Linked DNA regions of Coturnix japonica. The protein of the gene in region 2 interacts with the protein of the main gene of each other region in a pairwise test. Links are inferred from orthologs where the notes say so. Each region holds a gene or a part of one and is shown on either strand. Other genes may lie near its edges.

What was found.
Region 1: the proteins of FLT1 (region 2) and SHC2 interact in a two-hybrid assay, tested with the Homo sapiens proteins (2 studies listed by BioGRID). The link is inferred for Coturnix japonica from reciprocal best matches to the Homo sapiens genes FLT1 and SHC2.

Annotation. Positions count from the first base shown.
Region 1 is NC_029543.1:1,744,487-1,749,021, forward strand, and holds the start of SHC2 (SHC-transforming protein 2), read right to left. Parts: upstream 2,808-4,535; 5' UTR 2,723-2,807; coding exon 2,165-2,722; intron 1,645-2,164; coding exon 1,574-1,644; intron 1,281-1,573; coding exon 1,220-1,280; intron 1,059-1,219; coding exon 939-1,058; intron 860-938; coding exon 806-859; intron 600-805; coding exon 548-599; intron 399-547; coding exon 272-398; intron 180-271; coding exon 14-179; intron 1-13. UniProt on the Homo sapiens protein: Signaling adapter that couples activated growth factor receptors to signaling pathway in neurons. Involved in the signal transduction pathways of neurotrophin-activated Trk receptors in cortical neurons.
Region 2 is NC_029516.1:157,331,177-157,334,983, forward strand, and holds part of FLT1 (vascular endothelial growth factor receptor 1), read left to right. Parts: intron 1-1,549; coding exon 1,550-1,654; intron 1,655-3,807. UniProt on the Homo sapiens protein: Tyrosine-protein kinase that acts as a cell-surface receptor for VEGFA, VEGFB and PGF, and plays an essential role in the development of embryonic vasculature, the regulation of angiogenesis, cell survival, cell migration, macrophage function, chemotaxis, and cancer cell invasion.

The DNA.
Region 1 (4,535 bases), on a different chromosome or scaffold from region 2:
CTCCAGGGCTCACCTGGTGAGAGGGCTGAACACGTATACGGCCAGGGAATGCACTGTGCTGGAGACGGGAGTCGATCAGCCCCCCTGGGGGTGGCTCCTTGCCTGGGATGCTGTTGTAGTAATCGTGCTCGGCCACCTCATCATCCTCCCCCCACGCTGACTCCTCCATCCCCAGCACCCTTGTGCAGAACACAGCAGGGGCAGCTGGAGACACAGCCCCACTCCAAGCAAGGACAAGGCACAAGAAAGAATGGAGGGACCCCAGCCCTACCTGTCTGGGGGTACAACAGCCTTGGGTGGGCTGTGCAGGTATTGCTTGAAGCGCAGCTCAAAGGCCTGTCCCACCGTGTTGATGACGCTCTGTGCCAGCCCATCGCAGCACTCCAGGATGTGGCAGGCTGCAAACAGGCAGGTGAATGGACTTGAACCCTCCCCCAGGCTCACAGCAGCCCCCCAAAGAGCCCCCAGCTGCCCCTCACACCCCACCAAGAGGTGCCCTCCTCCAGCCCAACTCATCCCTTCTCCATGCCCCGGGAATCAGCATCACCTCTCTGGTTGATGGGGTCCTTGGCGACGTAGGCGACATAGTCCGTGGTGTCCTGGGGACACAGAGGGTGTTTGGGGCTCATGTCCTGCTGCTGTGTGTAGAGCGGGGCTGAGGCTGCCAGTACCAGACTCAGCCCTGACTGCTCCAGCCCCAAGGACTGGGCTGTCCCTGAATTCTGGCTCAGTCTGGCCCCACCATGGGATGGGCAGCCCCACGTCCCCACTCCTTGAGTGCAGGGCTGGGACGTGAGAGCCTCACCATGTCCCCACCGGAGGCAAAGGAGATGGACTGCATGTGGTGGTTGGCGATGATCTGCAGGGCATGGGGAGGCCATCAACACCCAGCTCAGAGATAAGGTTGGAGGCAGAGGGTTGGGATGCCTGGCTCTCACCTGGCGCGTGGTAGGGATCATGAGGTTCAGGCCATCAATGGAGATGTTGACAGCGATGCTCATGCCTGCAAAGCGGAGGTTGCTCTTCCCAAGGATGGAGAAAAGGGCTTTGCTGGGAGCCTGATGGGGGACAGGAGCACAGGGGTGATGTTGCCCTTCCAAAGAGCCTTTATGGGGTGGGGAAGACACAGAGTGCCCAACACCCCAGGCTCTGCACTGGGATCAACCATAACCCCAACCCTAAGAAAGCAGAGAGGGAATGGGCTCAGGTGGAAACTCACCTTTTTCTTCCAGATGCCCTTCACACCCGGCACTGCCTCGTACAGTCTGTTGATGGCTTCTCTGCAAGCCCCAAGTCCCACAGCATTACCATTGCAGATCCCAGCTGTTTCCTGGCTGCTTCCCCTTCCTGTAGCTCTGGGAGTATCATCCCCAAGCAGCCGCAATGTCCCCCAGCCTCCCCCAGGGTCACAGGGCTGGTGGTACGTCATCCCCACCGGGGCCACCTCCCTTCTCCTCTTTCCACCCATTGATCCGATGCCCATCACTGCATTGCTGCCTCTGTCTAAGCATATGGAGTGGCCCCTACAGTTCCTCCCAACCTCAGCACCGACCTCAATCTCTGCAGGTCTTACCTGGTGACCTGTGTCCGCGTGTTGAAGTCGAGGGATCTCATGGAGCGCAGCACCTCGATGCATCCCATGTACTGCAGGATGGGAGGGGAGGTCAGAGAAACCTCAAGGAATATCACCAGCCCCAATGCAGGTGATGGAGAGGAGGCAGGTGTCGGTGACAAGGGCTCCTCTGTGTAGCAGTGGATGGCAGCCAGCATCCCGTACCCACAGAGATGAACATGTGGATGGGGAAAACCGAGGCTCTGAGCACTGTGCGGGGGTGGGTTGGTCCAGAGCAAGGCCAGCGGCCTCTGGGCCCACTGACCATTTCTGTTGCCCTTGCACTGAGGATGGAGACCCAGGTGATGCTGTGCAATGGGCTCCCACCATGCAGCATCCAGGCCCAGGGATGCACGCCATGAGAGCACAGCACTGCTTGGCTACAGGGGCTCCCCACGTTGCCCATCCCAGGACAGAGGAGTCATGCCCAGTCCTTCAAGAGTCTGGGACCGTGTCACAGGGATGGGTGAGCAGAGGGAGCTTCCAGCTGCGGGCTTGGGGCTTCACACCTACCCGCACCAAGCAGAGAGGAGCGGGGCTGGCAGCACTTACCCTGACGATGTAGGAGACGCCAGGACCCAGCACCCGCTCGTCGGGATGCAGCCAGCCCTGGGCCGGCTTGTTGATGAAGCTGCCCTTGCGATTCCACTCATCCCCGGCCGGTCGGGCTCCTTCCACCCTCGCCGCTTTCCTGGCAGCCCCGGCCCCTCCGCGCAGCCGGCTCATCACCTGCAGCGAGCACGGAGCCGAGCAACCCGGCTCGCAGGCTCCGAGCACGGCGGCCAGGCTGGACGTAGCCCCCCCGGACTCCACGGCTCCTCCCGCTTTGGCCGGCGAGGAGAGCTCCTTGCTGGAACCCGAAGGGCTTCGGCTGAGGAAACCACCGGGACCGGGGAACTTCCATTGGGGCATCCGAGGCAGCAGCATGCAGAACGTGGTACCCGCCTCCGGCTCCTCGCTCGCAGCGGGGCACGGCTGTGCCAGCCCCGGGGCCGCACCGGGATGCGCGGGTGCCGGAGCCGGCATCGGGGCGGCCGGAGGATGGCGTGGCCGGGCCGCGGCCCTCAGCGGCTCGTCTCGAAAGCGATCATACTTGGGCTCGGGGATCATGCCCCGCCGCCCCGGCCGAGCCGAACGTTCCCGTTCCGGCGCCGCTCAGCGCCCCGCACCGCTACCGAGCCGGCTCCCGCCCCCCACCCGCTCCCCCGGGGCCGCGCAGCGCTGATGTCATGGTGAGAGCGCTCCGCCGCCCGCCCCGGCCCCTCCCGGCTGTCTGAGCATCCCCGCCTCTCGCCCTCTCCGGCCCCACTGCCCGTCCTTGCAGCCCCCCCCCGGCACGGGCAGCCCGGCCCCGGCAGCACCCCGAGCCCAACCCGGTACCCTATAGCATCACTCAACCCCGAGATCACCCCGCATCACCCAGCCTCGAGCCCCTCCCTGGCACCCCCCAGCATCACCCGGCCCCCAGCCACCCCGGCTGTGCTCCCCTCTGGGCTGCTGCCAACGATGGGAGCCCCAAAAGAGCCAACTGAATAGTGGACACCCGAGGATGAGGTGGGATGAGCTCTTTCCTGCACAAAACGGGCTGCCTGTGCTGACAGATGCCCCCCTCCCATGCCAGGGATGCCCCCAGTGGCCAGCAGGCAGCTTCTGGAAGGGGCCAGCAGCATCTGGCTGCTGCCTTCACCTGCAACGGGTACATTATCTCCATTCTTCTACCACTCCATCACCAAGAAGCATTTGCAGGGTGCCTGAGGCTGCTTGGGAGGTGGAGGGGTGCAGGGGGGGCTCTGCTGTACAATAGGGCTGGCTTATTTCCGTGCCTCCCAACCCAGTGGTCTTGTCCACTCTGATTTTGTCTGGCTCCCACTTGTTTATATCTGCCTGGAGGGCTCAGGCAGTAAAAAGCACAATCATTTTCTTGCTTCTTTGCCAGTATCTGCAGCAAGCTGGGGGGGGGTTGGGGGGATGGACAGACACATTTAAAGGGACTTTCTGACCTCAAACCATCATGTAATACTCCCCTCCCCCAGCCCTGCTTTTTGTTTTTTCAGGCATTCAAAGGACTCAGACCTCCTGTCCAGCCTGGCATCCACCCACAGCATCTGAGCAGAGGGGCAGGAGGCCAAGGCAGCCTGCATGAGGCATCGCACCCACTGTGGGGGCTCCCAGCATGACTCACACACTGGGGACCAAGCCCGGAGCCACCTCCTCACCTCGAGTCCTCCCTCGGGTGCTGTTTATTTCTGCCTTTCCATTTTCAACTGAGCATCTTTCGAAGGATGAGGACAGAGAGGGATGCTGTGCTGCTGAGGGGTCAGGTCTCTGCCCCACAGACAGAACCAGAGCCTCCCTGGGGGCTCACAGTGACCTGGACAATGCTTGGCTGCCTTTATCTCGCCTTCTCTTCACTGTCTCCTTCTCCCTGGCAGATGATGGGGGTGAAAGCCAGTAATCGCTCTAAGTGCAATCGATAAATCAGGGTAATAGAATTACATACATTTGCTGTTGCCATATTAGGAACAGCATCTCTTAGCTTCTCTCTGCCTTTCTTGCTTTGGTTTTTAAACTGCTGCAAAGTGCTGGAACACGCTGGACTCCTGCAAGCTCCATGGGGCAGCTCCAGGTTTTATTTGGTCATAGCATTGAGCATTCTGCAAGCAGAAGTGCTTGATGTAAGAAAAACAAGCTCTGCTGTCTCCTCATTCCCAGCACTGAGTCTCCCTCCATGTTGCCAGGTTCACATGCACATCTCCAAGGCAGCTGACAAATTCCATCTCTCTTTATTCCTCCAAGAACCCCAGAACCCACAAGGCTGTTGCCAAGTATCTCCCCTTCATACACCTGGCAACAAACAACTGTGTGACTTCTCATGCAGTTCCTCCTGCAGATGTCTGTCTCACAGCCTTTGGTTGCCCATCCT
Region 2 (3,807 bases):
AAGGAACTGTCTGCAGTAACTGGAACAGAAGTTGGCTGCTGACCTTCAAACCACGCGCTGCTCCACTTGTATTTGTATATGAAACTCAGTGCCTTTCACACACCGAGGCTCACTCTGCAGGTGATTTTCAGCCATGTATATTAAGTTCTTCATGGCTTCTATTTACTGTAAAAAATGCAACACTTTTGCACATTTAAGGGGAAATAAATGCTAGAGGTTTTTTTGCTTTGTGTATTCCACTTCATCTTTCCATTGCTTTAGTAACATATGCTGTTTACTTTCCATTGACTGAGAACTGCAGCTTAGAAATGCTACACATGTAAAAGGCAGCATCCAGTTATTTTAGAACTAGAGGCAATTCTTCCTTCTCTTCTTGTGAGTGTCTGGGAGGGTTTGATTTCTCACAGCTATAGAGTCTCACAAGGTAGACATCCAAGTCAAAGCCACTCAAGCAGCCCCCTTTGAAGTGATTCATCTCTTCTGCATCAGATGCCCATCACAGAGAAAAGGAATTGTCCTGTGAAGATGGCTGTGTGACAGGTGCACGGCTGAGAAATAAATGTGGCCTTAGTGTCACAGCTTTTCCATTGTTATTTTCCTTTATGGAATGCTGGACTTTGTTTTCTGCTCCTTTCCTCTGCTCGACAAGGCCTGCTGCTACATACTGGCTAGACACGCCAGCACCTGGATTCTGATGAAGGTGAAGCACAAATGCAGTCTAAATGAGTTGCTTGGCTGTGAGATACTTTGATAATGAATTGACTGACAAGATCTCACTGATCAGAACTGGCTGCGTGAGCACTGTATCAAAGTCAATGCTGCCTGCCCCATACAGCAGTGAGTCATAAGTGGGGCTGTGGAGATCATGAGATCAGCAGTGTGTTTGGACTTGAAAGAAAAGGACCATCAGATTTTACTGCTGGAGAATTTCATTTATATATATATATATATATATATATAAACATAAATCTATGTTTATAGATTTCTTTCAAGGGCCCTTGGGTTATTCTCCTAAGGTCTGCTCAGCATGACAACGATACCATGCCACAAATGTCTGTTCTAGAAGCATCCTACCCACCATGAAACAACCTAACACAGTCTAACAGTGGCAGGACAAGGGACAGTGGCTTTAAACTAGAAGAGGGGAGACCTATGTTAGATGTTAAGAGAAAGTTCTTCACTCAGAGTGTGGTAAGGCACTGGCACAGATGCCCATGGAAGCTGTGGGTGCCCCCTCCTTGGAGCTCAAGGCCAGGCAGGATGGGGCCCTGGGCAGCCTGAGCAGGGAGTTTTAACCCTACAGTGACTCTGTGTCTGATATGTCTGATTATGTTAAGCAAAGAAAAACAACTGAGAACCAAAACAAACAAACAAACAAAAAAAACCCAAACCACCAAACAACACCAAAACAACTTCACATTATGTTAGGAATATACATGTAGGACTCATTGTAAAGAACTTTTCTTTCCAAATCCTTATTTCCCCATTCATTAGCTGGTAAAATTTCTTCTTTATGGGAATGCCTCTCTCCAATCTGTTTTCTTTTCAGGAAAGTCACTCGGACATGGGGCCTTCGGGAAGGTGGTACAAGCATCTGCTTTTGGAATTAAGAAATCACCAACATGCAGAATTGTTGCTGTGAAAATGCTGAAAGGTACCTCACTGCCAACCCAGGCTGGAAAAAATGAGGCTCTTTATCATATCATATCTCACTTTTAACATGATTCTGTTGAAAGAAGTATTGTGTGATGCTACCCCCTGCCCCTGGCTGTCTAAAGCATCCAAAATGTGCACACTCAGTTTCAAGGCTGCCAAGATCTTCCATCCTAGTAGCAGAACTCTGAAATAAAAATGATGTCCACAGTAGAAAAGTTAAATTGCCAGGTGGAACAGGAGGAAGTTTCAGGTGCACCAAGAGCCCGATAGTCTGAGTTTCCTAAAGTCTTGTTCCATTACTTAAAGAAGGAATGAAGTGACTCTTATGGGATCAGAGCAGGGAACTACTACTATGTATCCTGCATTGAGCCATTATGCTGTGTTGACCCTGCACTGAGCACAGTACATAGAACTTAGCTGAGCCATAAGGCATCCACCTTGATGACACTCAGGTGGAAGTTTCCACATAATCCTTGGTCATTAGTTCTGATGATTAATCCTCTCGTTGTTAAAAACAAGTGAATTGTAGCTCATTTGCATCTGCCTGGCTTTAGCTTCTCATTCTAACACTCTCTATTAGTATAGGCCCAGCAGTTTTTCTACATGAAGGCCTTTCTATTAAGCAAAACAGACTGAGCAATTTAAACCTCTGAGTTGCTGAGCAGGTGTGCTCTCTCTGAGACACTTGCAGCTTCATTACATGGTGTTAGGATGCTGTTGCCCAGGTAGGGTGATGGAATTGCCATACACTAGCACTCATCCCAAGGTGAAATCATCTCCATTTTTATCATTGGAGAGGAAAGGACAAAGACTCTAATCAATTTAAAGAGGACACTGGGGAGCCTGTACAAGGGGCACCTGCTACTGCTAACTCCAGGATTGTCCCCAGAGGGGAAATTTTCAGCTGACAAGGTTACAAACCTCCCTCCTCTCTCTTATCCCATAAGCACAGAAAAGCCTTGTTAGCAATACACAAGGAGCAACTATCTTCCAGTAAGCATGTCTGGGAAATGGGAAGAAACTAAAACTTTGGTCCCTATGAAGAACTTACGCAGTGGAGGGCCAGTAGCTGTTCATGTCACAGGTTTCAGTGGAAGCCTTCAACCTGGGTCAATACGCGATCTGCCAGCACACAGATAGATGAGTTCATCAAATATCTGGCAGTGGCTTGCCACATTCAGCATTTCTTTATGTACATCTACAGCCAAAGCACCAGGGGTACTCCTAGAACAGGTGGGAGCAATGGCAGCTGCAAGAATCCTTCATGGTGGGATTTATGTACGCATGTGCAGAGTAGGTTCTTGTTTCTGAGTTTGTCACTCAAACTCCCTTTGTTGTCAATGATGAGAACAGTTCATCCCATCCTCAGGCAAATCCCACAGTCTGGTGTTCTGAGCACTTGTATAGTTCTGTTGCCTGTGAACAGAGCCTGTGGTGATTGGGTCCTTTGGGCACTTTTCCCTACCTGAAGATAGGGAAGATCTGTCTCATGCCTTATGTCCTCACCAGATTATCCAGTAACTATGGAGGCATTCATGAGCTTTGTACATGCAGAATTCCCATGAGGTGGGACAGATGAATATTGAGTTACTGATTAGATAATCAGTTTTGTGGGGGTCCACCAAGAAAATCTGCTTCCAAAACGATGTTGAAACCAAGCCCTTTAAGACCTGACTCTGGGTTCTTTTCACCAGACAGTTCTCACTCTTGGCAACATTCAAGTTTTTTAGTCTTCTTGGGTCTATGAAAAATAACACTGTTGGGTTTTTTTTCCTTGTTTTCTTGCCAAAACAAAATTCTGCAGCAGAATTTTGCTTGGATAGAATGAAAAATTCTGCTCAACACTAAGTAGAAACTTTTATGTTTAGTTGTGAGATTCCTTACATCACTGCTGTTGCTATTAATATTGATCATATCCAGAAAGAGTGAGTTTGTCCACAAAGTTCAACCATTTAAAATGTACGTGTCCAGTCTATGTCAATACTTCAGGCTTGTTGTGTGATCAACAGATTCAGAGGAGCTTCACCAAAAGGTGGTTCATCCCTTCTCTGAACATGCGATAGCACTGATCAGCCTCTGGTAACACCTTGCTTTACCACTGACTCCTTGGGAAGTCAACTAGTTCAGACTAATATGTAACTGTTAAGTGGC